Linked DNA regions of Arabidopsis thaliana. The protein of the gene in region 1 interacts with the protein of each later gene in a pairwise test. Each region holds a gene or a part of one and is shown in the gene's direction. Other genes may lie near its edges. The genes, in order: PAP7 and AT5G67130.

Region 1 (16,081 bases):
TTTGGTTCAAGTCAATGAAAGCTAACCAAAACGAGTTTGGTAATTTGGTCTTCTTACTCAAAATCTGTTTCAACTTTCAACAAGCAACTACACATTTGTTCTACTGTTGGGCTTCTACTTCCAATTAGTGATCTGACCAAGTATTTGGGGCTTCTAATTAACTACTACAAATTGTTTTGGGCTTCCGTTGGTTAAAGTAATTGTTATAACAAACAAAAGAGAAGAGAAATTCTAAACAAATATCATTGCTTAAGCATATGATGATGCTCTTTACCAATTTTTATATACATTCTTTTGTTTCAACATACTTTATATCATACGCGCTCGTGATCATATCATTCCGAAGCATAGAATCTCATTTGAGATTTCGGATAGATCGGACATCATATATACGTGGATACTATTTATTTTCGCATGTGTATTTTCATGTATGGAATCTCAAAATAATTGAAAAGATTTTGGAAGTTTTCGTCGACTCTCACATGCATTTTGGATATTCTTGTAGTCGACGCCTCTTGGATCTTGTCTAGATAAGAAAAACAATACATGAACACAAATTTCAATAATTGCAAATCTTAAAGAAGAATATGGTATGGGTTCCCGTTTGGCTTGTATGACATGACTTCGGATGGTGGAGGAAATATACATCCATGATAAATTAATATTTTTATCTTATAATTCCGGAATTAAACTGATAAACTCCTAAAAATGAATAAATATCTATCAAAAAAATATAATTTTTTTTACCGTCTTAAATTTATTATTTATTGCAAATTATGAGAATTGTTACATAGCCGAATGGATATAATTGCACATTGTTGAAGATCTCCTGCACACTTGTCTCTACCAATCTGCAAATCTGCTAATAAATCACAGTATCTGGGACTCGAACCCCAGACTTTTTTAGTGTACAAAAGCATTAATGAACCTTCGGTCAACCAATGAACCAAAAAAGCTTCTAAATATGAATTTTTAACTGACAATAAATAATTTTTGATGTTGACAACGACTATTTTCATTAAGTTTAAACGAGGAAGTAAACATTTCCAATTGGTGCAGAGGCCTATTTCCAATTACTGTTAATAATTAGTTGTATCTTTATAAATTATAACAGTTTTAAAACTATAAAGGAGGTTCCTAGCTCCTTCATGGTTGTCATATTTGTTTGTATAATGACTCTGTCACTCTTCCAGTGACATAATCAAATAATCTTTGTTGGAAAAGGAAAACAAAAAACAATTTTCTCTTTTATTCGAAACTTGTGTATTATTCACGAATTTTTTTTTTCCTTGTAGCAAAGTTTTATGACAAACAGATTTTTTTTTAAAAATTATGAATCAAACCTTTTGTGTATAAATTAACAACTCGTACAATGGCCTTTCACATATGTAAGGCAATTAGCAAATAAATAAATAAAATCACCTTCAAAAAGTCCGGTCAACCTTTTTTTTTTTTCTTTCAAAATTCTCTTTAATTTCCTTGTTAATATATATGGGAACTAAAAATGTTATTTATATGTGGAACAATATATACCACGTTAATTACCTAAACATGGAATATTCAGACTACTTCTATCCACCGCCCCTTTTCATTGACGTGCAAATAATTTTCACGTAATTGTCTAAAGTCCATTTTAGTCTTATATAGTCTCGGATTGAAACAAGAAAAACAATTTTTTCGACTTTAAAATTTATTAATTATTTTGAAGAGTTATTTTTCTAGTGACAAAGTTCATTACATTATTTTTTCTCTTGCCTTTTTCTATTTTTAATTCTTGTCCACATAAGGACTAGCTATAAATAAACAAAGCCACACGAAAACCCACCATCAGGTCCATCACCTCTTACATTTTTTCTCCAAAGTCTCTCAATGGATAGCTTGAGAGATGTTAAGCCTATCAAACTCATATTTTCTATTTTCTGTCTAGTTATTATACTATCCGCCTGTAATTCAACGGCAGAGCTACCGCGGTTCGTCCAACCACCAGAACCCGATGGTTCACTCAGTTTTCTCGTTGTCGGCGACTGGGGAAGAAGAGGTTCTTATAATCAGTCCCAAGTAGCTCTTCAGGTACATATTTATGTGTGTGTTTATGTAGATATGACCTTATTTTTATGAACAATCAAACTTTATTCCTTGTCTGTAATTAAGCTAGTTTCAAGTTCTTTTTAATGGTGTGGTTTAGAAAATATGTGAGAGAATTCAAGCGAGAAGACGAAAATGATAAGAGAAATCATATATATGTTATCTTGACGTCGAATTCATCGTTTGAGTAAATTACAAATTAATTAGCTATTGTAGTTATATATTAGCAAGTAACGAACAATAATAATAAAACTGCACTGAGTAATGCCTGGGTTGTATTAACATGTAATAATATCTGAATATATAATGAGTGAGTTGATGATAATATATGAGGCATATTTCATTGTTAATTAAGGAGCCGTGAAGATGAAGTTGCATACATAATCTTTAGTTCATTACGTAACTTACGTGGAACTAATAATCATCTTAAGGCTGTCCATTAGTGTTGCAATTCTACGTCATCACTTTAATTATTGGTTGCTTCTATAATCCTATGAGTAAATGCTTTGGATTAAGGAAGACACTGACTAGAGATTTTTATTATTATTATTTTGTTTTAGTTTGTAGTTAAATGGATAGGTTTGTCGCAGCTAGCAATTTCTAATTATTGTCTATATTTTTTTGCATTGATCAGATGGGAAAAATAGGGAAGGACTTAAATATTGATTTCCTCATTTCGACTGGAGATAACTTTTATGATGATGGAATAATCAGTCCATATGATTCTCAATTTCAAGATTCGTTTACCAATATTTACACAGCAACTAGCTTACAAAAACCATGGTACAATGGTAAGTAAATTATTAATAGTATTTATACTCTGAGCATAAAACTATCTCTCTTTCACTTACAGAGAAAAAGTTATTTGACTATCAAAAATTTATATACTTATTAGTAGATTTTCATTTATTTTCTCTTGCAGTATTAGGAAATCATGATTATAGAGGTAACGTCTATGCGCAACTCAGCCCCATACTCAGGGATTTGGACTGCCGTTGGATTTGTTTAAGATCTTATGTTGTTAACGCCGGTAAGTAAATTACCAAGAACACAAGTTAATAAAACTTCTCTTTAGTTAACCCTTTTTTCTTTTGTAGAGATTGTCGATATTTTCTTCGTGGATACAACACCGTTCGTAGATAGATATTTTGATGAACCAAAGGACCATGTATATGATTGGAGAGGCGTATTACCGAGAAATAAATACCTTAACAGTCTCTTAACGGTAACTTTTTTTTTCTTACTCTACCATAAGCTAGTCATATCATCAAATTCATTGAAAATTAGAATAATTAAATTGGCATCATACTAAAACCTGTCTCGATTACAATATAGTCAAAATATGTGATTATCATTGACCTAATTTAATGATATATAGGATGTGGATGTGGCATTGCAAGAATCAATGGCTAAATGGAAAATAGTGGTAGGCCATCACACGATCAAAAGTGCAGGTCACCACGGAAATACCATAGAGCTTGAGAAACAACTTTTACCTATCCTCGAGGTAATTTTTACTATATTATAAACTACTGAATTATGTAATACCAAAAATTGAAAAAAAAACAATTTAATTGGTTTTCTTGATATATTTAGGCTAATGAAGTGGATCTCTATATAAACGGGCATGATCATTGCTTGGAGCACATAAGCAGCATCAACAGGTGATTATAATAAGTTTGTATAATTTATTAATCGATTAATTATGGATTAGTAACGTAAGATAGAGATGCGGTTTTTGTTGTTTATAGTGGAATACAATTTATGACAAGTGGAGGTGGCTCCAAGGCGTGGAAAGGAGATGTGAATGATTGGAACCCACAAGAGATGAGGTTTTACTATGATGGACAAGGATTCATGTCGGTTTACACATCCGAAGCTGAACTACGCGTCGTTTTCTATGATGGTCTTGGTCACGTTTTGCATCGATGGAGCACTCTTAAGAATGGGGTTTATTCCGATATCTAATCGATGGTCAGACAAAAAAGTAGTTAAGAGTTACGACATAATTATTTATATTAATTAGTCCATTGTTTATTATGTTGATATTTCATGTGAGTTAAACATTTTTTAATGTTGTGTGATTATTTTCGAATTCTTAATGGTATCTTAATACATGGAGACATATCTTCTCATGATTTGGTTTTGATTTCGTTTACATTTAATATATAATTATACTGTACGCATGGTTCTCGTGTTCACATTTTTCATTACCATCATATTCCACTATATATATATTGATATTCAAAAGAATTATTTTTGCATATTTCACATAAAGAGAGAAATCCTTAATACTTCTCTTTATGATTTAAACATTAAAAGACAACTAATTTGATTTTTTTACTATTGATACCAAATTTATACATTTGTATCAAATATCCGAGAGATATTAATATTATATATTTATTTCTTTAAAGATTAAAAAGTCAAATACTAATTTAATTAATTAAATTAATTAAAAAACAAAATACATTATTAATTTCTAAAAATAATAGCCAATCAAAATCAACACATAAGATTTGATATCTAAATTTTAATTAATTTAATTTAATTAGAAAAACGAAATACATTATTAATTTCCAAAAAAGTAGCCAATTAAAATCAACAAACTATATTTGGTATCTAAATTATCATATTAATTTTTTCTTAATTATTATAGTTCACTTCTCATCTTGATATGATTCTATTTTTACGGAAAAATAATATCATCATTATAAAAAAATAATTAGAGTTTTTTCGCATATGCCATAATTTGAATTTTTAAAAACGAATATAAACTGTTCAATACATGAATAATATTATAACGGGTGAAAAAGATATTTAAGAAAACTTTCTACTGAGTAACGGGACATAAATTTGAAATATATATATTCAATTTCATACATATTATATTGAAAATTTATAATCTTATATACTACAATAGTTAATAACATATTAGATGTGATTCAATTTTTAATACAAGCTGGAAAATCATAGAATTGACGGATTTAGATCGATATTAATACAAGATGGTATACTACATGTGAAACTCTTAAATTAACAATCAAACTACAAGTGTATAATCTTAAACACTAAACAATATAGATAATATCAACAAAACATATACAACTCACAGTCTACTATACATTTAAAATTAAATAAAATAATATTATATATTTTTAAATCATCTTTACAATAAAAGTTTTTAGTTTAACTAAAATATAAGCCTACCTGCGGTATACTGCAGATTAATCTCTAGATTATAGGACTTATTGGATCTAAAGACGGGTCATCAAAGATTTCCTAAACTGAAGCAAAATATACTGAATATTCAAATATCTATCTGTTACCAAATTATAAACAAATAAGTCAATTTAATATTATATATACGAAATCAATTAAATCTTAATCACATAAAATTAGCACAAAAAAAAGTATTCAACAATTAAAAAATTATCAAATCTCTGTGTTATATAAGTTTTGATACTATATTTGAATAAAGTGTAATATACCTTTTTAATTTGTATTCTTTAACTAATTTAAGCTAACTAATATATTTGCTAATCTTATATCTATCAAAACCGACTATCGTTTTTTATCTCTATAGTATTTTTGCAAGACTTTTTTGGTGGATTTGGATAAAAATGCATTCGGGTCATATGGTACATTCCTCTATTAAATAAATATGGTGCACTCCTATGTTATTAGCTAAAATGTTTAGATTATAATTCAGAGTCATATCATTAATAAAACTAATATTAATAAAATAAATGACTTTTTGGCAAGACGGATTTGGAGGAACGAGTTTTTGAATCAACATTAATAAAAAAGTAAAATATAATTAATTTACCGTTTCAATATGGGTTAAATCTTTAATTTATTATTTTTTAAGACCACTAATATTAAACATATCAAATCATCCTAATTTAGAAAAATTATATAGAACCAAAAATGTTATGTGGTATGTATAATGTTACTATATATAAAATTAAACTATAAAATATAAATGTATTAGAGAATAATACAATTTGCAAAATTTTTATATATAAAAAATAATTCTAAAATTATAAAAATTACTACTTAAAAAAAAAATCATGGGACGGGTAAAGAAATTACAAAACGTGTTTTATTTTGGAATTGGGTTATATGGTGGATGTATTTGAATCAATATTTATAAAATTTTAAAATATTATTAATATGCTGTTTTAATAGGGGTCAAAACTTCAGTTTTTTTAACAATTGTCTCATGAATTCGTGGTATATCGTTACTTAATTACAATTATAAACTGTAAAATATAAATATTTTGTAAAAATAAAATTTGCAAATTTTAATATATATTACTTTTAAAAATAAATCGTGCCGCGGTATACCGCGGGTTAAAATCTTGTTTAATATATAATTATACTGTACGCATGGTTCTCGTGTTCACATTTTTCATTACCATCATATTCCACTATATATATATTGATATTCAAAAGAATTATTTTTGCATATTTCACATAAAGAGAGAAATCCTTAATACTTCTCTTTATGATTTAAACATTAAAAGACAACTAATTTGATTTTTTTAAAACTATGGATACCAAATTTATACATTTGTATCAAATATCCGAGAGATATTAATATTAGACATTTATGGGGAAAGATATATAATTAAGAAATAAAGTAGGAAACAAATAAAAACATATACAGGAGGAAATATCCCTTGACCTAAACGTGTAAGTAACACGCAGCATTGGCCCATACATTGAACAAAATATATACTATATGATTACAAAACAAAAAGTTGTAGAGTCTTCTTAATTAATTTAGTAAAATGATTATAATTTCCTTCAAGAGTTGACCAAAAAGAAACATCCTTGATTAAATAATGTATCGACCATGTTCTTCTTATGGATCCATCTATATTAATTGTTAGCAAGGCATCTTCATCTCTCTTTATATAGGCATCATTTGTTTCTTTTGTGATTTTGTCTCATACCAGATAAAACAAAGTAAGAAGAAGATGAAGATGCACGTATGTTTTAGTGTGATTTTGATGTTTCTAAGCATCTTCTTCATCAATGGTGCTTTGTCGAAGCTTGAAAGGTTGAAACATCCGGTGAAGAAGAAATCTGATGGCTCTCTGAGTTTTCTTGTTATCGGAGATTGGGGACGCAAAGGTGGTTTTAATCAATCTCTCGTTGCACATCAGGTTAGTAATATTAATCACTTTTTCAATATTTATAATGTATTAGAAAGATTTAACAAGTATATGTAGACTAGTGGTTTGTGTTTTGTAAATCTGATAAAAATACAAGATTTATTATTTCATTTATAATTCGTTTGAATAACAAAAATACAACTTAATTAGTGACAATTATTTGTTCAAGGCAACAATATAGAGTAATACAACCCAAAGGATTTGAATTTGATTTTTTTTGTTGAACAATGTACGTATTGTTTATAGTGTTGAAAGTTGAAATATGTATGAAAATGTAAACATCAATCTATTAATTTATGAGTACATAGTCGTATGTTGCGTGCATCCTACGCAATAAGTACTAATTGAGAAAGCATATTCGTAAAGTATTCTTGTAATTGACAAATTGATACGCTTCATTAGAAAGCAGAATCCTAATTAAAATGAGATGTAACAGAAAATTGACTATCATTTTGTTTGGCAACAAATCCTTTTTTTTGTTGTATATCTTAAATCAATTTACAAAAATATTTCACGCTTATAATATCGACATGAACAAACCAGTGTTAATAAAATTTTGTTTATGTAATGTAAAACTGAAAAATTGGCAGATGGGAGTTGTGGGAGAGAAATTAGACATAGATTTTGTGATATCAGTAGGAGATAATTTCTACGACGACGGATTAAAAGGAGTCAATGATCCTTCCTTTGAAGCCTCTTTCTCTCATATCTACACTCATCCTAGTCTCCAAAAACAATGGTATTCAGGTAATTTACTTCCTTCTAATCAAAGTTTATACACATGTTTAATAGTTAGTTACTTAATTGTTTATCTATATGCCTAACTGAGTTTAAACACTCAAATGTGTTATGGGATTATTGTGTAGTTTGCAATTGTTTTGGAAAATGTCATTTTTACTAAGATCTTACAGATTTGTCGTACGTATTTCAATTTTTTTGTTGTTAAAAATACATATTTTATACCAAATACTAAACTTAAGATCAGATGGAACCGACTGACCTAAACATAACGGGTAAAATGCATGTTTAAATTATAATTTTTTAGCTTGCAAAATGGCAAAATCCATAAACTATTCAAAAAAGGCAAAATCTATAAATGCCACTAAGAAAAATGGCAAAATCTGATATTGATTCATGTGTTAATGCAGTTTTGGGTAACCATGATTACAGAGGAAATGTTGAAGCACAACTAAGTAAAGTTCTCACCCAAAAAGATTGGAGATGGTTTTGTCGCAGATCTTTTGTCTTATCCTCAGGTAGATTTTAAGGAAAGAAACAAACAAAATTAAACTATCATAACTAAATCAAAGTTTTAGTTAGTGAATATGTTTTGTTGTGGTTATAGGAATGGTGGATTTTTTCTTCGCGGACACAAATCCTTTTGTAGAAAAATACTTCACTGAACCAGAAGATCACACTTATGATTGGAGAAATGTCTTACCAAGAAATAAATACATCTCAAACCTCTTACATGTAATACATTTTCTTTCATAATCACATATATATATCTCAATCTTCTTTTTGAAATTTTCTACTAATTATAACTTATGTTATTGAAATATCAGGATTTAGATTTAGAGATTAAAAAGTCGCGTGCCACATGGAAATTTGTCGTGGGACATCACGGGATCAAAACCGCAGGTAATCACGGTGTGACTCAAGAGCTTGTAGATCAACTTCTTCCAATTCTAGAGGTAAAATTCATAATATCACTTTTATGCTAATTACATGTTATATTATCTTTATTGTTTTCTACATTGATGTACCCCAATTTAATTAACTACGATAGTTTTTCATGATTTTTTTCACTTATTACTGAAGGAGAATAAAGTGGACTTGTACATAAATGGACATGATCACTGCTTGCAACACATTGGTTCTCACGGGTAAAATTATAAGTACTTATTTGTTGAGTTTAAAATGTTTCTTTCTCTATTAAGTTGTTATATTTTGTTGAAAGAAAGAAAACTTAACATATATTTTGGAAATGGTGAAGTAAAACCCAATTTCTTACAAGTGGAGGAGGATCAAAGGCATGGAGAGGACATGTTCAGCCATGGGATCCAAAAGAACTCAAACTGTATTACGATGGACAAGGTTTCATGTCTCTTCACATCACTCACTCCAAAGCTAAATTCATCTACTATGATGTTTCCGGCAATGTTCTTCACCGATCCTCATTGTCCAAAAGATCTGCTCATCTTTAAATAACATTTCTAAGAATAAAATTTGCACACAATTTAATTTAAGTTTTTATTTACAATAAATTTATTGATGTATGATTATTGAACACAATGGTCTTGAATAATATAGAGTTTTTTCACGTTCTGAAAACGTGGTTCCGTTGAATACATATCATTTACAAAAATAGGCATGGGCATAATACCTGAACCCGATCTGAAATACCCGAACCTGTTCTATTTCAGTTTCGGTTAATTATCCGATCGGATTCTATTTTCAAATAATTGTAGGTATCGGTATTATCCGAACCGAACCCGATACTCGTAAGTAATATTTATTACTCGAACATATATATACATATAGGACATATATTCACTAATAACTTGAATTTGTGACATATTTAATGATTTGAGTTATGGAACAAGCTCAAAATAAGGTTTACTTCTTGTTTTATATTATTGTCTTAAAGAAAAACTTGTTATAATTTCAGATTTTTGGGTTTTATGGATATTTTTATGTATGTTTCGGTATATTTGAACAAAATTTGGGTAAGTAGTACTTAAACCCGAAATAGTTTTGGTTATTTATGGGTTCTTTAACCAATATTCGAATTATGCGGACCCAAAGTAAACCCGAACCGAACCCAACCCGAAATTGAACATATAACCCAACGAGTCTAAAATTTCTAAATTAGAACCCAAAAGATCCGACCCGAACCGACCCAAATATCCACATACCCAGGGCTATACAAAAACTTGTGTTTAATTATATATAGAATATGAAAATAACAAGCGAATTTTCAGTTTATCTTGCATGTTTTAAAATTATTACTAAATTTTAGAAAGTTCATTAATCTACGAAATAAAAACTTTATGGTGTTTGAAACAAAAAATCATTTTTATTCAGCTTAGAATTGTTGTCCGGTATTAAATGTGATTCATCTATTCTATTATTCAGCTGTTTTTCATAGTATTTCTCTTATATACCTTTTAAGAAAATATTAAATTTCATAGTATTCTAATTATAAAAATACTTGATATGAAATATAATACATTTTTTGGGACTAAAATTGGGCCTTTAAAGCCTTATACTTGGAATTATCACATTAAAAATGGGCCCAATTTTGAATGTCTGGTGATATAAGACTTTTATGTAAAAACAACTCCCTAAGAAGTAAAGTTATCTACAACTTTGCCATCAACAATGTCCACACAGAAAAAAATATCATCTTCCAGAGTGGTGTAGCAGAAGAAACAGAGGAAACTGATAATGGTGGTGGTGTTAGGCTTACAGTCTCTTAAATGGTACACACATGGAAGAATCATGGAGACAAAGAAGAAGAGACATTTGATGCGTATTGTCCAAGCCACTGAAAGAGAAGATTCATTCCAAATCGATAGAGATAAAGCTAGAGAAGCTCTGAAACAGCTTGATCAACAAATAGAATCTCAAGCTGATGAGAAACCAAGAATCATCAACAAGACATCATCAGATGTGGTCAGAACCAACAATGATCCAATCATGTTTGAAGAACCACCTGAGATCTCCGGATCGTTCCTCACAAGTTCAGCTTTTGTTCTCTTAGCTCTTACCTTGTTCTACAACATTTTGTTCATTACAGTGATAAAACCATCCATGGATGGACCAGAATCAGTTCCAGAAGAAAACAGTGTTGCTATGTCTGATTCTGACATTGTTAAGTTTCCACTTTCATCTTTGCCTGAAAACACTTTCAAACAGTAGAAATCTTAGTGTATCTCGTGTATATTACATCTTCACTGTTTTCAATACTGAAATGTTCACACAAATGAAACTGATAGTAAAAACAAAATTGGAACTTTGTCTTCAGTGCAAAAGAGACATTGTTTGCTTCTCGAGCTGCAGTAACCTAAATGAAGTATCTTTATCCAACCTCAATCCAGCATCTTCAACCTCCTTACATATCTCTTTACACTTTGTCAATCGCCCTGAAGCGGTATAAACGCTAATCATATCGCGATAAATATCATACGTTGGCGAGAATCCAGCTTCCTTGAGTTTAGAGTAATACCTCATTGCTCTTCCCAAATCATCCAATGCTACAAATAGTTTAATGACTACTCTATAAGCTGGAAGATCAAGAAGACAATTTGATTCTTCCATCTCCCATACCACACTCATTGCCTCCCGGTATTTTTGTTCCGAATACCGGCTATGTATCATCGTAGTGTACATTACAACGCTTGGTTCTCTGTTTGATGCTTTAAACCAGTCAAAGAGAGATTCAACAAGCTCAAATTCTCCCAGTTTCACACAGATCTTCATAATACTTGTGCAATCCTGCTGGCTCAATTTCAAATCTTCTCTTTTTTTCAGTTCCTCAAGAAGAGCAACAACAAGATGGTACTTGTCAGGGTTTTTAGCTATTTCCAGAATCATCTTCACGTAAACACTCGAGTCAAGTATTCGATTGTTACTCTTCGAGATCAGTATAAGCTTCCGAGCTAGATTCAACCATCCACCTTCAATGCATCCCTTGATCATAGCTTCAATTACATTCTTGCTAGCCAAACTATTGTCGAATTTAAGCAGTTTCAGCTCATGGTGCTTCGCCAAAACCTGGATAGTCGATGCAAGAATCCGGTTATCAGGGACTAAATGAGAATGCTTTTCAGCCCAATGATACGTCTGTAAAGCTCTCTCAGGCAAACCCATATGACCCAATTCTCGAATAGTCGTAGAGAGTGACCCTTTACGCAAGAAACTAACCCATTTATTGAGAACAAGAGAGACATCTGCATCAGAAGAAGGCAAGCTCTTGATCTCTCTAGCTAAACCAATGAGAAAGCTTGGATCTTTATACACTTGCTTCGATACAGAAGACAATGCAGGTGATCTGATAATGTTCTTCTTTGGAGTTGGAAGACCTAAAGGTCGTAACTTGTGAGGTTGAGGAAGTGGTAAAGGCCTAACTCGACTCGGTTTATCGGGTTTTTGAGGTATCCTTTTCTGAAACAGCGATGAAATAGCCTCGATTTCTTCTGGTTCCCATACAACAGCATCATCATCATCATTCACTGATTCTTGAACTTGCTCATCATCATCATCAATCACTAGTGGTTCAATTTTGGGTTTCCTAAGAAACAAATTAACACCAAAATCAGGAGGAAGCTTGGTACGGCGTGGATTACGGAGATTCTTAGTGAGTTTCTTAGAGTGATTCCTTTGACTAGCGTTGACTCTTGTTACTCCTATGTTTCCGATTCTACTGGTTCGAAGATTCAAGTGAAAGCTAAGTGACAAAGAGACAGGACAGTGTAGTATCATTCCTAAAAAACACACGAAGTTACGGTTCTAATTCAAACCCTAATTCCGATTGAACCTTAAGTAATCGTTTCTACAATAGAATCCGGAACAGCTAGGGTTTTGAAATCAAACACAAAGCTTATAAAAAGGATTAAACTTTAGGTCTAGAAACAAAAACCCTTGAAGAATACGAAAGAACTATCTTAGTCTAAAGAGGAAATTTGATGAGAATCTTAGCGAGCTTGAGATAGAGAGAAGAAGAAGAAGAAGAAGAAGAAGAAATCAATTATCCGACCCGGTAAACACGACCCGAAATGACCCGACCCAATTGAAAATGATATTTTTGTTAATTTATTTAAAAGTAGTTTTGCGGATAAACATTAGCTTACGTGGCAAAACCTTTGGAAGCAAGTAGAGTGTTATACAGTTGTAAAATAGCTGGCAAAAAAAGCAAAACCATCAACTTCAAAACGACTAAACACAAATGAATAATGAGCTAAGCCAATTTTGTCTAGTTTTTCACAATTCTATCTTTTAGATGGTCCCTAAAATTTTGCCAAATCCGACTTATATGTATATAAAAAACAATTTTTTTGCTCCATACTTTTCTTTTGATATTTTCCTTATAGTTAAATCGTTTGTTAATAACGAAACAAACATTATTTTTGTTGACAAAAATGAATTGTTTACTCAAGCTCAAATTTTGTTCGAATGCGAAAGGTACCATGTGTGATCACATAAAAATTTTGTTGTATGTAATAATAATACTACATATGTGCATGAACATGACCACACAAAATTAAAACAATATTCGTCGGACCCATTGAATAAAACAAGTACAAGCGAGACAAAACTCTCGTCACATAAAGTACACAAAATTGAATACAAATATAAATTCCAAGATATCTGAAATTATTTACACCGATAATATTCGTAAACAACTGTAAAGTATTCACAAAAACAAGAAACAATTTATCATATATAAAAAAAATATCACAAATAAATAAATTAATTATTTTTTCTTTTCTTATAATGATATACAACTAACAAATGACAAAAATGCCTCCTCTATATGTGAAAATGCATTGAATCATAAATAACCAAAATAATGGACTTATTATAGAACCCCCAAATCTCACCCATACTATTTTGCCTATATATGTTATCATATCGACTCGGTTCCATCAACCCGGCTTCTCTTGCTCCGGTGCTTTCCATTGCGGTGGCGCCTCGGAATGCCGCCAAATCTGACCGGATCATAAACCCTAAGCCTTTGAGCCTCAGCGGGATTCACCACACACTCCGATAAAGCAACATTGTACCTAGCCCGATCATAGCAATATGAATATGTCATGAGTCTCCGTCTGAAAACATCCATTTTACTCCTTTGTGAAGGAGTAATCTCTTGCGCCGCACGCATATCCTCAGCCGCGCCTTCATCGCACCTCGGAAACTGCTCGATAGGGTCCACGGGGCAGCCGTGCAGGACTAGATCCGAGAACCGCGCAATGTAAGGCGCATATTTGTAGTTTACACCGTACTTTCCACCGTTAGTTGCCCATTTAGAACCGTCCCATATTGTTGTGTAGAGAGACATCGGCTTTGATGGAAAGTGACCACCCATTTCCGCAGTACGTTTGACCTCTCTAATAGGAACATTGTCTACAAAGAATCTGCATAACCAAAAAGAACAACAATTTCACAACTTTGATCAGTAGTTTAGTACAAACTACATAATTATAACCAAAAAAAACATTTATTTGGATTAAGTAAGTTAGATTCTGTAAGCTTAGAAAGATAACATTATTGGCATAAAAATTTGTAGCTTTTGATGAACTTAAGTAAAGATTCTCAACTTGTGAATTGGACCCCAAACATACTCTCTATGGGGTCATTGTTGATGCCAAAAAACGAAAGCTGTAAACCATTTTAGGCGATCACACACACTTGAAAATTGACAGGAACATTACAACCAAAAGCAAATAATGTCCCAAGCATCACAAAACTTTCCACAAGAAGTAATAAGAATTAATATCCACCAAAGAAAATTGAATCATATTTTTTCAACAAAAAGATCGTCCCATCATTAAAACCCCACTTGGGTTTCCTTAAATAGAAGATCATATTATTGAATCCATAAAGCTTTTAAATCAAATGGGGTCAATAGCCTAACCTCCTTTAAATTGAACCAAACAAACAAAGATTAAGAGAGAATTGGTACTTTTTTTTTTACTTACATGATGTGAGAATCAGACCAGAGGATACTGTATTGATGAAAATCTTCAGTAGGATCAAACCAGAGATTATATCTCTCTTCTCTTCCTGAATGAGTACTTCCATTACCGTAAATGTTTGTCTGAACTCTCCATTCTTTTTCTCTAATGTTACCAAGAAACTCAAAATCTATCTCATCATGATTCTTCTCATACATATCTCCATTAGACATCTGAATACATAACAACAACCCACAATATAAAAAAAAGTCATTAGTACTTATACTAAACCCAAATCAAATAGTGAAACTAATCATAATTGGTTAGTTCTAAAGCTAAAATTAGAGATTTTACTTACATAAAAGGCAACAACAACTCCAGCTGTATAATCAGAAGGTAATTTAATTGAAGCACTGAAGAATCCATGCAAGTAATAATCATTTGAAACAAAACCGGAACCTGCAAAAACAAAATCATTACTAAACCGAGAAAATGAGAAGGAAATTAAAAAACAGAGGAAGATTAAACCGTACCGGTTCTTTCATCGAGCGTTAACCGGACAGATTTGCCATCTTGATGAACAAATAAGTTCTTGTCACCAAAAAGTTGAGTGTAACTTTCTTCAAAAGATGTGATTGGAAGATTTTGCAGAGCAAATCCAGAAACTAAACCGGAAAACAGAGACATGAAAACCAATAAACGACTCAGAGTCTCCATTTCTAAATCTTTTTTACAGTATCAAACGCTTCTGTTTGTATATAGAAAAAGCTTTAAGAGAAAGAGATAATAAGCTTGCGTAGAGAAGCTAAAGAGAGATAGAGAAGAGAAGAAGGAGACGAAAGGCTAATGAAGAAGAGAGAGTGAATATGGTTTCCATCTGTCTTTTTGGGTCGTTTATATTTCGATTTTTTAAATTATTTTAACGAATTCTCAACAATTTTTAATATCTTTAAATTGATTTAGTTTTTATATTTGATGGATATAATTGGGTATTAGTTTCCAAAATTTTGTTAAATTTTTATATGTCCAGCTGTATAGATATTTAGAGTATATAATAATTAAAATTTATATAGTTTTTTAATATTTGATTGATATAATTGGATATAGTTTCCAAAATTATGTTAATTTTATATG
Region 2 (15,530 bases), on another chromosome or scaffold:
TTTGTTCTACAACATTTAACCAATGCTTCTTAGCCTTTTTTGTTGTTGTTGTTGTTGTCTTTGTGAAGAATACGGATGTATGATCATGGCATTACCAATCACCAGTAGGTTTTCGTACCATGTGGTTTTATATTAACGCTCATTTTGGACGATTGTTTCTTGCTCAAAAGACACTCTTTCTGTCTACATTAGTAGCTTGACATATGATGTGCGTGCTCCTTGATCTTTCAGATTGATGTTCCAATGCCAGCTCCAGAAAGAAAGAGATCTGGTATTCTGAGTCATTTCACTGTTGTTAGGAATCCTGAAGGAACCGGTTACCCAATTGGTTGGAAAAAAGAAGTGTCTGACAGAAATTCAAAGAACGGCTGCAATGTATTAAGTATTGAAAACAGGTGTGTTGCAGCTCTGTTACTGAATAGGCTGTGTTTGTGATCCTTCACATATATCTTTGGCAATTCATGTTGGCTTCGTCCAATATTTTGTTCCTTTTCTTACTGCAGTGAAAGAGCATTGCTGAACCGATTGTTTTTGGAGTTAAACAAATTGGACAGTGATATTCTTGTGGGACATAATATTTCAGGTTTTGATCTGGATGTTCTTCTTCAAAGGGCCCAGGTAAAGCAAAATCTCTTTTTACCATTAAGAAAAATGGTTGTGTCTTTCATTTTATTTTATTTTCTTATCTTTCTATGATATGCTTCATATTAGTTTTGTAAGATCTTGTCTTTCCAGGCCTATTAGATGATATTTAACGTAATAAGCCAGCAAGTTTTTATTTCATGCATTGTACATCATTAGTCCCTTTTCCAGTCTCTCCTGTTGTGATGATCATGTAATAGAGATATATACATGTCTGTCTTGTTCTTTAAACTGAATGATTACTATTGTGCAGGCTTGCAAAGTTCAGAGTAGCATGTGGTCCAAAATTGGCCGACTCAAACGCTCTTTTATGCCTAAGCTTAAAGGAAACAGTAATTATGGGTCAGGAGCTACACCAGGGCTCATGTCTTGTATTGCTGGAAGGCTCTTGTGTGATACAGATCTGTGTTCTCGTGACTTGTTGAAGGAGGTATGATACCCTTGCAGGTCTTGTAAGCAGTAAGTTGAAGCTCAGTCCCTCATGTATAAGCATCTGTTTCTTGCAGGTCAGTTATTCTTTAACGGACCTCTCAAAGACACAGCTGAACCGGGACAGGAAAGAGATAGCGCCTAATGATATTCCCAAAATGTTTCAGTCATCCAAAACACTTGTGGAACTTGTAAGTTCTTCGATGAGCCCGGTCATGTCTGTTTTATGTATGAGTTGGTACTACCACATTAGGGACGATAGGTTATGAATCCTTGCATGCGAAACAATTTAGTGCAAACTATTGAAGAATAAATAATCCAGTCATACATAGAAGTAAAGGGATTGCAGATAACAGCAGTCACTTAAGGTTGATGAGTGATGACTGCATCTTAATTGCTCGCTTGTTATAACCCTTTGATTTTCTTTTCTTTCAGATTGAATGTGGTGAGACGGATGCATGGTTATCCATGGAGCTCATGTTTCATCTAAGTGTTCTTCCTCTCACTCTCCAGCTTACTAACATAAGTGGCAATCTTTGGGGGAAAACACTTCAAGTAATGACTCTCCCTCTCCCTCCCATCCGGGAAAATATGTGTTACTGTGCTGACTCATGCATTTTTTGTTCATGACCAGGGAGCCAGGGCACAGAGAATCGAATACTACTTACTACATACATTCCACTCGAAAAAGTTCATTCTCCCTGACAAAATTTCACAACGTATGAAGGAAATAAAGTCATCAAAAAGAAGAATGGATTATGCTCCAGAAGACCGCAATGTAGATGAATTGGATGCTGACCTGACTTTGGAGAATGATCCGTCTAAGGGCAGCAAAACAAAAAAAGGTCCAGCCTACGCTGGTGGACTGGTCTTGGAGCCAAAGAGAGGCTTATATGACAAATATGTCTTGCTTCTGGATTTCAATAGTCTTTACCCTTCTATTATACAGGTTAGCAGATTGTTTCTATTTCTCAAGCCTTTGGTGGATGTTTCCGCCTGCTTGGTAGTTAACAGTCATGATATTTTCAGGAATACAATATCTGTTTTACGACTATACCACGATCAGAAGATGGAGTTCCTCGTTTACCTTCGAGTCAGACACCTGGAATTCTTCCAAAGGTATAGTCATCATTACACGAGTTTGCATTTTACTGTGACTATTTTCAATTCCGTATATATTTTCTATATGTTATAGGTTATCCAACGTCAAATCTATAAATTACCCCAACCCAATCAGAAATTAATTGAAAGAAAAATTCAACAACCAAAATATTTTGCCTCATTTTCTTTTCCTAACCTCTCAAGGGATATGCGAGAAATCCTCAGAACAATGCGACCTAGCTGGTCAGTATTGTATTGGTGACTGCTGCTTTCTGTAGTTTAAGTAAACCTAATTCTGACATAATCGTCTAAATTATTGCTATATACATTTTTTTTTCCTCGACTTTAAGTTTCTCTCCTTGATCTGGTATGCCCATGAATCCCACTATATGTCTTTGTTTTAGTTGATGGAACATTTGGTCAGTATAAGGAAAAGCGTCAAATTAAAGATGAAGAAGGAAACAGGTCTCAAGTACTGGGAGCTTGACATTCGACAGCAGGCATTGAAGCTCACAGCCAATAGGTTTGCATTTTATGGTTTTACTTGTGCGGCAATAATTGCCAATCACCGCAATTTGATGTTTATGTTTTTTTATTCATTCTAAACACAGTATGTATGGCTGTCTGGGGTTTTCTAATTCAAGATTCTATGCTAAGCCTTTAGCAGAGCTCATAACACTACAGGTAAGTGATGCTTTCTGTGTTTTCTAGTGACATGTTTTTTCTTTTTTTCTCTATTTTTGCGTGATCAGGCTGATTGGCTTAACATTGCAGGGAAGGGATATCCTGCAAAGAACCGTGGATCTTGTCCAGAACCATTTAAATCTAGAGGTAACTCTTATACTTGGAGTCTCAGGAAATGCATTTCAGTAGAGAAATTAGTGAACTGTGTAAACAACTCTGTTCTATCAAGTCTAGAATTAAAATCTTGCTTTTACGTAGGTAATATACGGTGACACAGATTCAATCATGATTCACAGCGGACTAGATGATATTGAAGAGGTGAAAGCCATTAAATCAAAAGTCATCCAAGAGGTAGGTTGGATACTAGATTTATCTCTATATAGCTTTCCTTGGGGAAAGTGCTTCTCTAAGAAGATTATAAAAAATTTATACAAGAAAAATCAGACATTTGATTTTGGGCCTTCCCCTTTCAATTTTTAGGTCAATAAGAAGTATAGATGTCTAAAAATTGACTGTGATGGCATATACAAGAGAATGCTTCTTCTTCGAAAAAAGAAGTATGCTGCTGTCAAGTTGCAGTTTAAGGATGGGAAGCCTTGCGAGGTAATTGTTTTTTTGTAAACATTTTTGCATACCCTTTCTTGCAGAAAATTATGGGTACTAGATGCATTCTCAATGCAGGACATTGAAAGAAAAGGTGTGGATATGGTTCGTCGAGATTGGAGCTTACTCTCGAAGGAAATAGGAGATTTATGCCTGAGTAAAATCTTGTATGGAGGGTATGTTTTGAAACATCAACTAAAGAACATTGTTTTTACTCTCTCATGCAAGCACAACAAGTCTCTTCTTCTGTGCAGATCCTGTGAGGATGTTGTTGAAGCAATTCATAACGAACTAATGAAGGTAATCTTTGTTATGATTTATTAATCTTTGCTAATTAGTTTGATCGTCTTTATCATCCAACACATGTTGCTTTGTCCATGTAACAGATAAAAGAGGAAATGAGAAATGGGCAAGTTGCTCTTGAGAAGTATGTCATCACCAAGACATTGACTAAACCGCCTGCAGCTTATCCAGATTCCAAAAGCCAACCACACGTTCAAGTGAGTATGAGAGCTATTATTCTCGTTATTTCTCCCTTATTATATGCTTTCTATATATTCACTTAACTTAACTCTCTGATTGTGTGGCTAAATTTTTCTTCTCAGGTTGCACTCAGAATGAGGCAACGTGGTTATAAAGAAGGTTTCAATGCTAAGGATACTGTACCGTATATAATCTGCTATGAGCAGGTTCCCAAAACAGAAGACCAGCTAAATATTATAAGATACCCTTTAGTTTTTTCTACTAAATATTTTATGCCTCCTCTGTGCAGGGTAATGCTAGCTCTGCTAGTTCAGCAGGAATTGCCGAACGTGCTAGGCATCCTGATGAGGTGAAATCAGAAGGCAGCAGATGGTTGGTTGACATAGATTACTACTTAGCACAACAGATTCATCCGGTGGTGTCTCGTCTATGCGCAGAGATTCAAGGAACAAGTCCTGAACGTCTAGCTGAATGTTTAGGACTTGACCCATCAAAGGTAAAACAGCTTTCACTCCAGCAAATTTCCGATTCATATTCAGTGATCATGAATTCATGATAACTGATGTGGAAATAATGTTTTATTCTAGTACCGAAGCAAATCAAACGATGCTACAAGCAGTGATCCCTCTACCTCCCTCTTATTCGCAACAAGCGATGAAGAAAGGTATTGATATCTTTCCCATTTGTAATTTGCTATCATATATTTGCTTCACGGATTTGCAATATTCCTCAAACTTAAGATCCGCAACAACGTAATTTACATGGAAAAATGCAGATATAAAAGTTGCGAGCCTTTAGCATTAACATGCCCCAGCTGCTCTACTGCTTTCAACTGTCCATCTATTATTAGTTCTGTTTGTGCGTCAATCAGTAAGAAACCTGCAACACCTGAAACAGAGGAATCTGATTCCACATTCTGGCTTAAACTGCATTGCCCGAAATGTCAGCAGGAAGATAGCACGGGAATAATATCCCCTGCAATGATAGCTAACCAGGTAGGCAAATTTTGTTGAAAAGGATCCTAATTTGTTAAGTTTCTCAGAATAAAAAATATGTATCCTTGTGATTTGGCCTGCAGGACAAATGCTTCAGTTATTAACTCATTATCATGCCTTTCAGGTAAAAAGACAGATCGATGGATTTGTGTCAATGTACTACAAAGGCATAATGGTGGTATGTAAAACCTTCTCGCCTTGTTTTTTCCTCATAGTTCTGAACATTTGTGATTTGTCCTTCTTAATTTATGCTAAGACGTTTTCTTGTACATTTTGCCTTCAACAGTGTGAAGACGAGTCATGCAAGCACACAACCCGCTCCCCCAACTTTCGTCTACTCGGTGAACGTGAACGGGGGACAGTTTGCCCAAACTATCCTAACTGTAACGGAACCCTCTTACGAAAGGTATATACCATCATCAACCTTATAACTCCTATCTCTCTATTGCTTCACAGACTAACTCTTGACTTTACAGTACACTGAAGCAGACTTGTACAAGCAACTGTCATACTTCTGCCACATCTTAGACACACAATGCTCTTTAGAAAAGGTTTCTACTTTACAACCTTGTTATATTATTAATATCAATTTGTCTTGTCTATATCCCTAAAGTTATCGGTACCATTTGAAATAACAGATGGATGTTGGCGTGAGAATTCAAGTAGAGAAAGCAATGACGAAGATAAGACCTGCGGTTAAGTCAGCAGCAGCAATCACTCGAAGTAGTAGAGACCGGTGTGCTTATGGATGGATGCAACTCACAGACATAGTCATTTGATAGTTGTAATAATCATCTCATATGTAAGTAAATTAGTCTTTTATATATAATCTGCTTCAGACATCATTATAATCAAACTACTCAGATTTTGTTCACTCCTAAAGCTTATTAGCATAACTATAACTGAACATAGAAATCTGGCCAATGCTAAAACTCAAAACATTGTTCACTCCTGTCTGGCAGGTACTAGAGGAATTCCGATCATCATCATTGTCTGAATGTTATCTTCAAAGCAGAGTGGCTGTGGAAAAGCACATTCCTTGACTTGTTTTAGCTGGTTCCAGCGAGTGAGGAGCAGCGAGAAGAGTCTCTAGGTTCAGGTCTTGCTCTAAGGTCTCATTGATCCTTGTATGAGTTGGAGGTGGAACCTGTGGTAATCGCATAGGGTTTAAGCCTAAACCATTCATAACGGCTAAAGTCTGCATCATGCAGTAAATCAAGTTAATGATCTGAGTGATGTAATTTACAAATCAGACTTTGAACGTATATAATCATAGTAAGTAGGAAAAAAACCTGGACTTGAAGTTGAAGCTGCTTCAGATATTCTATAGCTTCATCAAGCATTGAGGCTTTATCAGTCTATAAACAAACAAAAGATAACGGATCAATCAGAACAATGTTTCTCACTATCTCTGATTCGAACAAAGATTGATTAACCTTGTTGGAATTGGGAATGAGTTTCTGCAAAGCTTTCATTTTCTCGTTGATCTTGCTCCTCCTCTTCTGCTAACACTCAGATTCTAATCAACTACAATCTCAAGGTTCTTCTTCTTTCTAAATTAAGAATCTTAAAAGGAAGATAAAAGAGAAAACCTTTTCAGACAAGTTGTGGAATTGAGCATCAATGTTTCTCTTCAACGAATTTCTCTGTTTAGCTCCACTTCTCTTTAGTGTTTAGCCATTCCAAAAAGAAAAGAGACTAATTTTGGTTTTTGTTTTCTTTTACAAGGAAAGCCAAGTGAAGCATCTCTGCAGCTAAGAATAGTTAAGTTTATACCTTGTGTTCGAAAGCATATTTGTCTTGGCCAGTTTCAGAGACTCCATAACCGACGGAAGAAACAGCTCCGCCGGAAACGGAAGGGAAGAAGGTCTCAGCGGAGGAAACATTAGTACTCTTCGGTGGTGAAGAAGGTTGAGCTGTAGGAGTACGGGAAAGAATCTGTCGGAGAAAGCTCGAGAGTTCGTCGGAAGAAGATGGAGGGGGAAGACGATCACCGACGTCAGAATCACCCATCTCTCTCTCTCTCTCTCTCTCTGCTCTACTCTGTGTGTAAAAATTATCACTGTGGCTTTTTCGTAGTAAAGCTTATAGGCGGGGGAGGTAGGACGCGTGAGATCACGTTCTTCAGAGAAGCGCGTGGAGGTTCTAAAAGAGGCGAGTGGCGTGTCGAATCCCTATAGACAGAATCTGGTGTCTCACATCACTCTGTGTGTGAACAGTTTCCTTTTGTAGCAATTTTATTTAATAATATTATATTTTTTACCTAATAAAAAAAAGGAAAAAAGCATTTTTGGACCACCAAGTAAATAAAAAACATACATTTTTATTGTTTTTTTCAATGTGATAAGTTAAATTGAGAGGAGGGGATGAAATTATGAAAATCAGTAAATGAAACGGTTGAAAAAATAAGAGTATTGATAAGATAGAGCATTGATAGACTATTTAATTATTATTATGACTAAACATGAAAATGGACAATTACTTGAAAAGTAAGGTCTCGCAACAGTTTCACCATTTTTGACAAATTACAAAAATCTATTTTTTCCTTCTTTTTTGTTGTTGTTGTTGTCCACAGATAAAGTGTGAATAAAACTGCATGCATTTCGAAAGATTATTTATTCGAGAGATTATTTAACACAAAATAAAATTCAGATATTATAATGGTCAATACAAAGACGATAACATGTCCTTGATCATTAGCCTTTTTTTAATGCATCCAAAGGGAAATATATATAATATAGTAATTAAAATAATTATGGTTCATAGCAAAAATAAGAATAACTAGATTTTAACCCGCGGTATACCGCGAAAACAATTTATTTTTTAAATTAATATATATAAAAGTTTGTAAATTGTATCTATCTATAAAATATTTTTATTGTATAGTTTACAATTGTTATTAAGTAACGTCCTGCCAAACCCGTCCCGCCAACCCGTCCTCTAAAAAAACTCATTTATTTTATGAATGTGATCTTATTTATGATATGTTTATGAATTATTGTCTAAATATTTTGTAATTTTGTAGTAATTAAATGTTATCAAATATCTCTACGGTTTGATGATTATAATCATGCAGAAAAGCAATATCAAAAATGATAATTTTGTAGTAATTAAATGATATTAAATATTTTAGAAGTTTTATTTTAGTAATTAATCGTGTAGTTAAGGTAGAGAGATTTTGGAAAGATTGTTAAATGTCAAATATTTAATTAGAAGATTTTCTTTCTAATTATCAAAAACAATTATTAAATGCCAATGACAGCCGCTGTAAATAAATCCCAACTCCAGAATTTATTTCACAAAGTGGCTGCAAAAATATATATATAGATGATAATAATCAAAATCAGAAATCAAATCAAAATCCAACTTGCCATCTAAATAAATGGAATCTTTCTAACTTGATAAAAAGGGAAATATTGGTAATTATGGTTCATAGCAAAAGAAAGAAACAAAAAAACTGAAATCCAACGAGATAAACGGAATCTTTCAAACTTGATAAAACATTTAAACGACTTCTCGGTTGCAAAGAGGACACTTGTTCGTGACCATTAGCCAATTCTTGATGCATCCGAAGTGAAAGTCATGCCCACATCCCAGTTTCGAAACTTCTTCATTGTCCTTCAATTTCTGCTGACAGATCACACATCTCTTCGTTTCATCGTCGCTACGCTTTTCATATTTCCTTCTTATTAGATTCTCATCAATCACTTCCTCGCTTAAACCAGTGCGTTCATCTCCTGTTTCGTCAGTGATGCTCAATAATTCCTAGAAAAAAAAAGATTCATTCATAAAATTATCGATATCTAAACTCTGCAGCTTATACAACTCTAGAATCAAGAAACCAAAATGGTACATATAATTTTTATTAAAGAGAGTCCTAATCTCTTCTACATCTAGGATTCAAATGCACTTCTTTGAAAACTACACATGCAACCGACTAGTTAACCAATACTGGAAGCATTAAATTTTCAATGTTATCTTGCAAAAAACTCTAAAGTGCTAACTTCTAAGATACAATGTTCATAACAAATGAAAAAATGGTGAAGGCTTTCAAATGTGATGTAAACACTTTAGTAGTTTTTGAAGATATTTGCATATCAAAACTTAATCTAGTCTAGTTATAACATATATAATATACCTCGTAAGTGAAGATGTCTCCATGAGAAGATGGATTTGTATACTCTTCTAGTGACTCTGTTTCAAATTGTTCATTTGTCGATGACTGTAACCAGTTTCTCCAATACTGCTCCAACGTTTCTTCCTATACAATTTCAATGTCTATATTATAATATCCAAAAGCATTAGATATTAGATAATTACCCAACTAAGTGATATTAATGTTTTCCATGTAAAACCGAAAAATTTTAAACCAAACAAAATACATGAAAATGATTATTTTAAGTTCACTAAATATCATAGAAAATTTAAACCTTTCTTTGTTTTTTAAATGGCAATTGTTTTTTTTTAGTCTTATTTCCACAAATATTGTTTCATAAACTCTAAATATACTTGAATGCTAAGAGATTTGCATATCGAAACTTAATCTAGTCTATATATTTATTATATACCTCGTAAATGAAGGTGCCTCCATGAGAAGATGCATTTGTATACTCTTCTTGTGATCCTGTTTCAGATTGTTCATTGGTCGATGACTGTAACCAGTTTCTCCAGTAACGCTCCAACGTTTCTTCCTATATAATTTCAATGTCTAGATTATATCTAAAAGCTTTATACCTTTTAAAGAAAAATATTAGATAATAGATAATTAATTACTCAATTAAGTGACATTCAATGTTTTCCCACGCAAAAACAGAAAATTTAAAACCAAACAAGATACGAGGGAAATGATTACGTAAAATCACGGAATGTCAAAACAAATCAAAATCCTTTTTTTTTTTCTTTCAAATGTCAATAATATTGGATCTTATTTCCTCCAATATTGATTCATAAACTCTTGAAATATATTTGAAATGCTAAGAGATTTGCATATCAAAAGTTAATCTAGTCTAGATTTATACTATACCTCGTTAGTGAAGGTGTTTCCATGAGAAGATACATCTGTATACTCTACTACTGATGTTGTTTCAGATTGTTCATCGTTCCATGATTGTAACGAGTCCTGCTCGAACGTTGTTTCCTAAACAATTTTCATGTCTATATTATATCCAAATAAATTATTTCTCTTAAAAAAAACATTAGATAATAGATAATTACCCAACTAATTGTCCTCAGAAGGGAACCGGGCTCTATTGCCGGACCATCACCGTTCACATCAAGCGTTGGATCTGGTGAGATGTCATCAGCATCAACTGGTGAGTAAGTGTCCCATAGATCCCAGTCGTCTCCAAATAGTAGCCACATGAAGCTAAAAGGACTATCCGGTATCTCAGAATTGTCTTCGTTTGGATCCATACTTTTGGAGAAACATATTACCTGACTCAAAATTTTTTTTCAAGGGGCTAGATTAAGCTGAATTTATATAGATAATTAACACTTTCAAGTATCATCACCATTTAACTCTTCCATTCAAATGCAAATACTTGAGTGGACAGGATAGTCTTAATATTGATAAAGTAATAGAAAAAATAAAGACGTTATGAACAAAGAAAAACCACTAAATATATTGTAGCTCAGTTAAAGGAAAAATATATATACCAAATTAAGGCTTAAACGATAAATAATGCATATAACCCACTTTTCAGTGCCTCCATGGATAAAAGGATTTAGCAACTTTAAGGAAAAAAGGTTTATACCAAAAAAAAGTTCAAGGAGAAAAAGACCACTGATTTACAATTGTTGGGTAGTTTGAAGTCCCAAAATGTTAAAAATTCAATTAAAAAAATTGTGACAGCTAATAAAAATGGAACTTTAGCTGGATTCGGAAGATTTATTTTATTGAAAATAAGGATTCTGTTTTAATTATAGCTCTAATACAGTTGAATTGGTTTTTTATAGAAAAACATTTCTTTATTGAATTTTCTTCAATGGAAAAATATCATTTTAGAGTGAATAAGTACAAAAAATAATAAATGTTGCTTTCAACAAAAAAAGGAAGGAAATTTTATGTTTTGGCTTTGTATATTTGCTTTCAACGTCATTAAAACGCTTTTTAAACCGGAGATATGCATCTTGTTTTCCTCATTTACAAGTTCACAAGATGATTAATTACATTACTTGGGTCATGGGCTTAAAAAGAGAGAGTTTGGGTCCAACTAAAAAGGCTCAGTAAAATACGTAAATGGGCCTAGCGTTATAGCGAGAGGCAGAGAGAGAATTTACACGACGACGACGTCATACTCAATGGACGTAAATGTCCAAACTACAAAAGTTTTTTTTTTTTTTTGTGTATTAAAAAAAAAATCTCAAGTTAAAAACACATCAAGAGTATATTACAGCAACTTGTGTGTTAAATCACCAATTGTGAATAAATCGGTTATGGAAATCAATCATTTTTTTTTTTGGTTTAATGGAAATTAATCATTTGATCGTTAAGAGTGTCACTAATTCGATACGTCACTTGCTGACGAATCTGCAGATGAAATAGGCATGGTATGATAAATCTCGTTAAGAATAAAATTTCACCTAGATGTTTGAGTAATTTTTGTAAGATGATGAAAATTGTAACATTTTTCATTGAAAGAAGCAAAGAGACAAGCAACAAGACAAGAGTGTCCCCACGCATGTGAGCACCGTTAACCATAATAGAAAAAAGATATCTTCATCTAATAATAGGTGAAAAAATCTTATAACTGAGCAAATTTTAGAGAATGAAAATAGTGATCTGTGAAATAATTTTTTTTTTTTTTATGATAGACCTCACCTAACAACTAGAAGAAATAATATAAAACCATTATTACTTATATTGATAAACTCTTACAAGATCACTGTTTCCATAAATCTTGACAAAAATGTCACTCCATATGTTTGGTGTACAAGACTAGAAACTGTAGTTTTGAGTTATGTTATTATAATGTTAAACTGTATTATGCTCAAAATTGAACTCCTTTTGAAAGGTGGTTTATCTTCTTTACTAATCGTTTCTTCATTTTCTCTCTAGGAGCTAGGTGGGAAAAAGATTCAACCTTGTCTTAGAAAAAGAAAACCAAAGCTAATCTTTTTCTTTTGTACCTCTCTTTCAAGGATTAACAAAACAAATCGATGAAGCCCGGGTTTTAGTACCTAAACATCTCTTTGTCTCGTCTTTGAAAACCCCCCCAAGTAGATCCAACATCATTCATATCTCTCTCTCTATCTCTGCATAAGCTACGGAGCGATGTCGGCGTGCATCAATGGCTTATGCAGAGCCGTGACTGTCTCTCTTCTTCTTCTTCTTCTTTCTTTCTCTTTTTCCTCAGCTTGCTCCAATGGAAATTGCCAGGTTCTTGATTCTCTTTGCTTATTATTCTCTGGTTTATGGCTATCAAATTTGGGTCTAAATCTTTAGGGATTTTGCATTTTTGTGTCTCTTTCAGCTGCTGGATTCATGCTCCTCGGCTACTGATTGTGTCTCTGGTTTATACTGTGGAGACTGTCCTGCCGTTGGAAGAAGTAAACCCGTCTGCACAAGAGGCCAAGCCACAAGTCCAACTTCCATTGTGAGATTTAGTTCCTATAATTAGTTGGATTTCTCTAGAGTTTCCAATTTTTGAAGATGCGTTGTTTCAAAAGATAGTCTAGATCACTTGGTCTATCAAAAGTTTTGAACTTTGAAGATGGGTTTTGCTGAAGATTTCATTTGGTTGCATTAAAAGATAGTCTAGATCATTTGGTTGTATCAAAAGTTTTGAACTTTGAAGATGTGGTGATGAAATTTGTGTGTGTGTTTTTTGTAGATCAATGGATTGCCTTTTAACAAGTATACATGGTTGATGACTCATAATGCCTTTAGCAATGCAAATGCACCACTTTTGCCAGGTGTTGAGAGGATTACATTTTACAATCAAGAAGATACTATTACTAATCAGCTACAAGTAATGCTCTTATTACCAACTCTCTTATTATAGTTTCCTCTTTTTTTGGATAAAACTCTTGAATGTATATTTTTGTTCTAGAATGGAGTTAGAGGGCTAATGCTGGATATGTATGACTTCAACAATGATATCTGGCTTTGCCATTCGCTTCGAGGGCAATGTTTCAACTTCACCGCTTTTGTAAGTTTTATCTTCAGCTTAACCTTGCTGGATCGAAAGCTTGAAACCTGATTGGATTGGTAAATGTGAACTTTGTTTTCTTTTTGAATCAGCAACCTGCAATTAACATACTGAGGGAAGTTGAGGCATTTCTGAGTCAAAACCCAACAGAGATTGTTACCATCATAATAGAGGATTATGTGCACAGACCTAAAGGCTTATCAACACTGTTTGCCAACGCTGGTTTGGACAAATACTGGTTCCCTGTTTCGAAAATGCCTAGAAAGGGAGAAGATTGGCCTACTGTGACTGACATGGTGCAAGAGAATCATAGGCTCCTGGTTTTCACTTCTGTTGCTGCCAAAGAAGATGAAGAAGGCGTTGCGTATCAGTGGAGATACATGGTTGAAAATGAATGTGCGTATTACACACAGTTTATATCTTTAATGAAAATTGTCTCTGAGAATAACCTTCTCTTGCCATTTTCTTATGATTGTCTAAAGCTGGGGATCCCGGAGTGAAGCGAGGTTCTTGTCCTAACAGAAAAGAGTCTCAACCTTTAAATTCAAAAAGTTCTTCGCTATTCTTGATGAATTACTTCCCGACATATCCGGTTGAGAAAGACGCTTGCAAGGAGCACTCAGCTCCACTTGCTGAGATGGTTGGGACTTGTCTCAAGTCAGGAGGGAATAGAATGCCAAACTTTCTTGCTGTTAACTTCTACATGGTACTGAATCAATCATATAACTATAATATGACTGTTTTTACGAGATCTAGCTAACAAACCATAATATTGCAGAGAAGTGATGGAGGCGGCGTTTTCGAAATTCTGGATAGAATGAATGGACCGGTACTTTGCGGTTGTGAAACTCTTTCTGCTTGCCAGGTATTAACTTATTAACTCGCGCCAAAGTTACTTATGGGTATGAAATAAGATCTTACAAGCCTAAATTATCTAAAACCGGCACCCGTATTTTGGTTCTTGATGTTGCAGCCAGGAGCAGCTTATGGTTCATGCAAAAATGTTACTGTACAGACAAGAACTCCAAGCATGGATTCAACGGCTGGAAGCAACTCAGGTGGAAGCTACTCAGGTTCAGTTCAGTTCTCAAGATCTTTAGCTTCTGTGGCCCAACTAAACAACATTGTTGTCTTCTGCTTCTCATTGCTTCCGTTGCTGATATTTCTACTATGACACAACCAATCAAACCACGTGGAGAGATTCTTAGGTTAGAGAATCTTGATCACTTCTTTAGAACGAATGAGAGAGCCTAAGTTGACATGAATTGCCTTAGAAAGAGTTTCTGATTTGATTCTTGTATTGTAGACTGCAGAGCTATAGGCAGAAATCTTGTGTATGTGTGTCTTCAGCTTCTGTTGATTGTTATGCAACTTATATATATATATATATAGACACAATTCTACTCCAATAGAAACTTTACTGAATATTTATATATATATGTTGTTGATTGATGAGAGAACACATAAGATATATGCAGATTCAATTGTATGAATTACTATGTACACAACAAACAAGAAATATGATGAGCAACACTAGACAGCATGCAGCAACGGTGGTGGATTCTGAGCATTGAGAAGCAATTCCATGGGTTTGATCTGAAGAGCAGGACTGATGGTAAGTAAAGCAATGAAGCAATCTACAGGAACTCTAGTTCCCCATAAGTTGATGGATTCGAGTTTTCTGCATTTGTTTACAAGAACAAGAAGGCCTCTCTCTGTCACATGACGGCAACACCACATTCCGATTGTCTGCATAAAGGATTCCAATTTCGAAAGCGTGATTCTCATGAATCTAGAGAGAATTATTTGGTTAGATGATTGTTGTTACCTTAAGCTGATGGCAGCGTTCTGCAATTGCGAAAAGAGACTCATCGGTTATAAATGTTCCTCCTATGTTTAGGTGTTGCAGTGAGGAAGTTCTTGAAATCTGTCAAATCAAAATCAAGATTCTCTGAAATGATTAAAACAAAAAAGGAATCTTCAAGATTCCAGTGCACAAAAAACGGTGTTAGATTTTACCAGTTGAACAACACCAGAATCAGTAATGGCGGTCATGCCCCATAAAGAGACAGAGTTTAAATTGGATACACATCTTGCAGAAGCTATTTGGTAAAGACCATTATCAGTTATATGACAACCCCATCTGCTTCGAGATCTTCAAATATGAAAGAAGAAAAAAACAGAGTTTATAGTTCTGTTCTGTTTTTTGACCAAGTCAATATCCTATCTCAAACACCCTAAAGGTAAAGTTGGAAACTTGACCAAAAAATTCAGCAAATCTCCACTATCCCACCAATCTTGTTTACTCTTAATCCGCCATTGAAGGACAAATCAAGTACGATCATAGTACAAGAAACAAACAAAGAGCAAAACAGAGAGAAAGAGAGAGAGATTACATGTCGAGTTCTTTGAGGTTGAAAGCAAGATGAACGAGACGAGAAGT

The links.
Region 2: the proteins of PAP7 (region 1) and AT5G67130 interact in a protein complementation assay, tested with the Arabidopsis thaliana proteins (one large-scale study listed by BioGRID).

The regions. Positions count from the first base shown.
Region 1 is NC_003071.7:384,957-401,037, reverse strand, and holds PAP7 (purple acid phosphatase 7), read left to right. Parts: upstream 1-6,853; 5' UTR 6,854-7,070; coding exon 7,071-7,259; intron 7,260-7,858; coding exon 7,859-8,015; intron 8,016-8,416; coding exon 8,417-8,524; intron 8,525-8,613; coding exon 8,614-8,741; intron 8,742-8,833; coding exon 8,834-8,962; intron 8,963-9,089; coding exon 9,090-9,154; intron 9,155-9,264; coding exon 9,265-9,475; 3' UTR 9,476-9,617; downstream 9,618-16,081. Other genes in the region: PAP8 (purple acid phosphatase 8), read left to right, coding at 1,870-2,070, 2,720-2,876, 3,008-3,115, 3,183-3,310, 3,464-3,592, 3,682-3,749, 3,837-4,053; AT2G01870 (uncharacterized protein), read left to right, coding at 10,719-11,192; EMB975 (Tetratricopeptide repeat (TPR)-like superfamily protein), read right to left, coding at 11,295-12,755; EXGT-A3 (endoxyloglucan transferase A3), read right to left, coding at 13,900-14,407, 14,972-15,180, 15,306-15,406, 15,481-15,664.
Region 2 is NC_003076.8:26,779,389-26,794,918, forward strand, and holds AT5G67130 (PLC-like phosphodiesterases superfamily protein), read left to right. Parts: upstream 1-11,910; 5' UTR 11,911-12,210; coding exon 12,211-12,315; intron 12,316-12,409; coding exon 12,410-12,532; intron 12,533-12,769; coding exon 12,770-12,907; intron 12,908-12,988; coding exon 12,989-13,087; intron 13,088-13,179; coding exon 13,180-13,483; intron 13,484-13,569; coding exon 13,570-13,793; intron 13,794-13,865; coding exon 13,866-13,952; intron 13,953-14,060; coding exon 14,061-14,261; 3' UTR 14,262-14,494; downstream 14,495-15,530. Other genes in the region: ICU2 (DNA-directed DNA polymerase), read left to right, coding at 232-395, 504-618, 896-1,072, 1,149-1,262, 1,507-1,626, 1,706-2,020, 2,101-2,190, 2,577-2,695 and 15 more; ALC (basic helix-loop-helix (bHLH) DNA-binding superfamily protein), read right to left, coding at 5,944-6,135, 6,230-6,295, 6,374-6,439, 6,530-6,601, 6,714-6,950; AT5G67120 (RING/U-box superfamily protein), read right to left, coding at 8,442-8,702, 9,076-9,198, 9,506-9,628, 9,961-10,074, 10,152-10,349; AT5G67140 (F-box/RNI-like superfamily protein), read right to left, coding at 14,621-14,836, 14,916-15,014, 15,107-15,242, 15,484-15,530.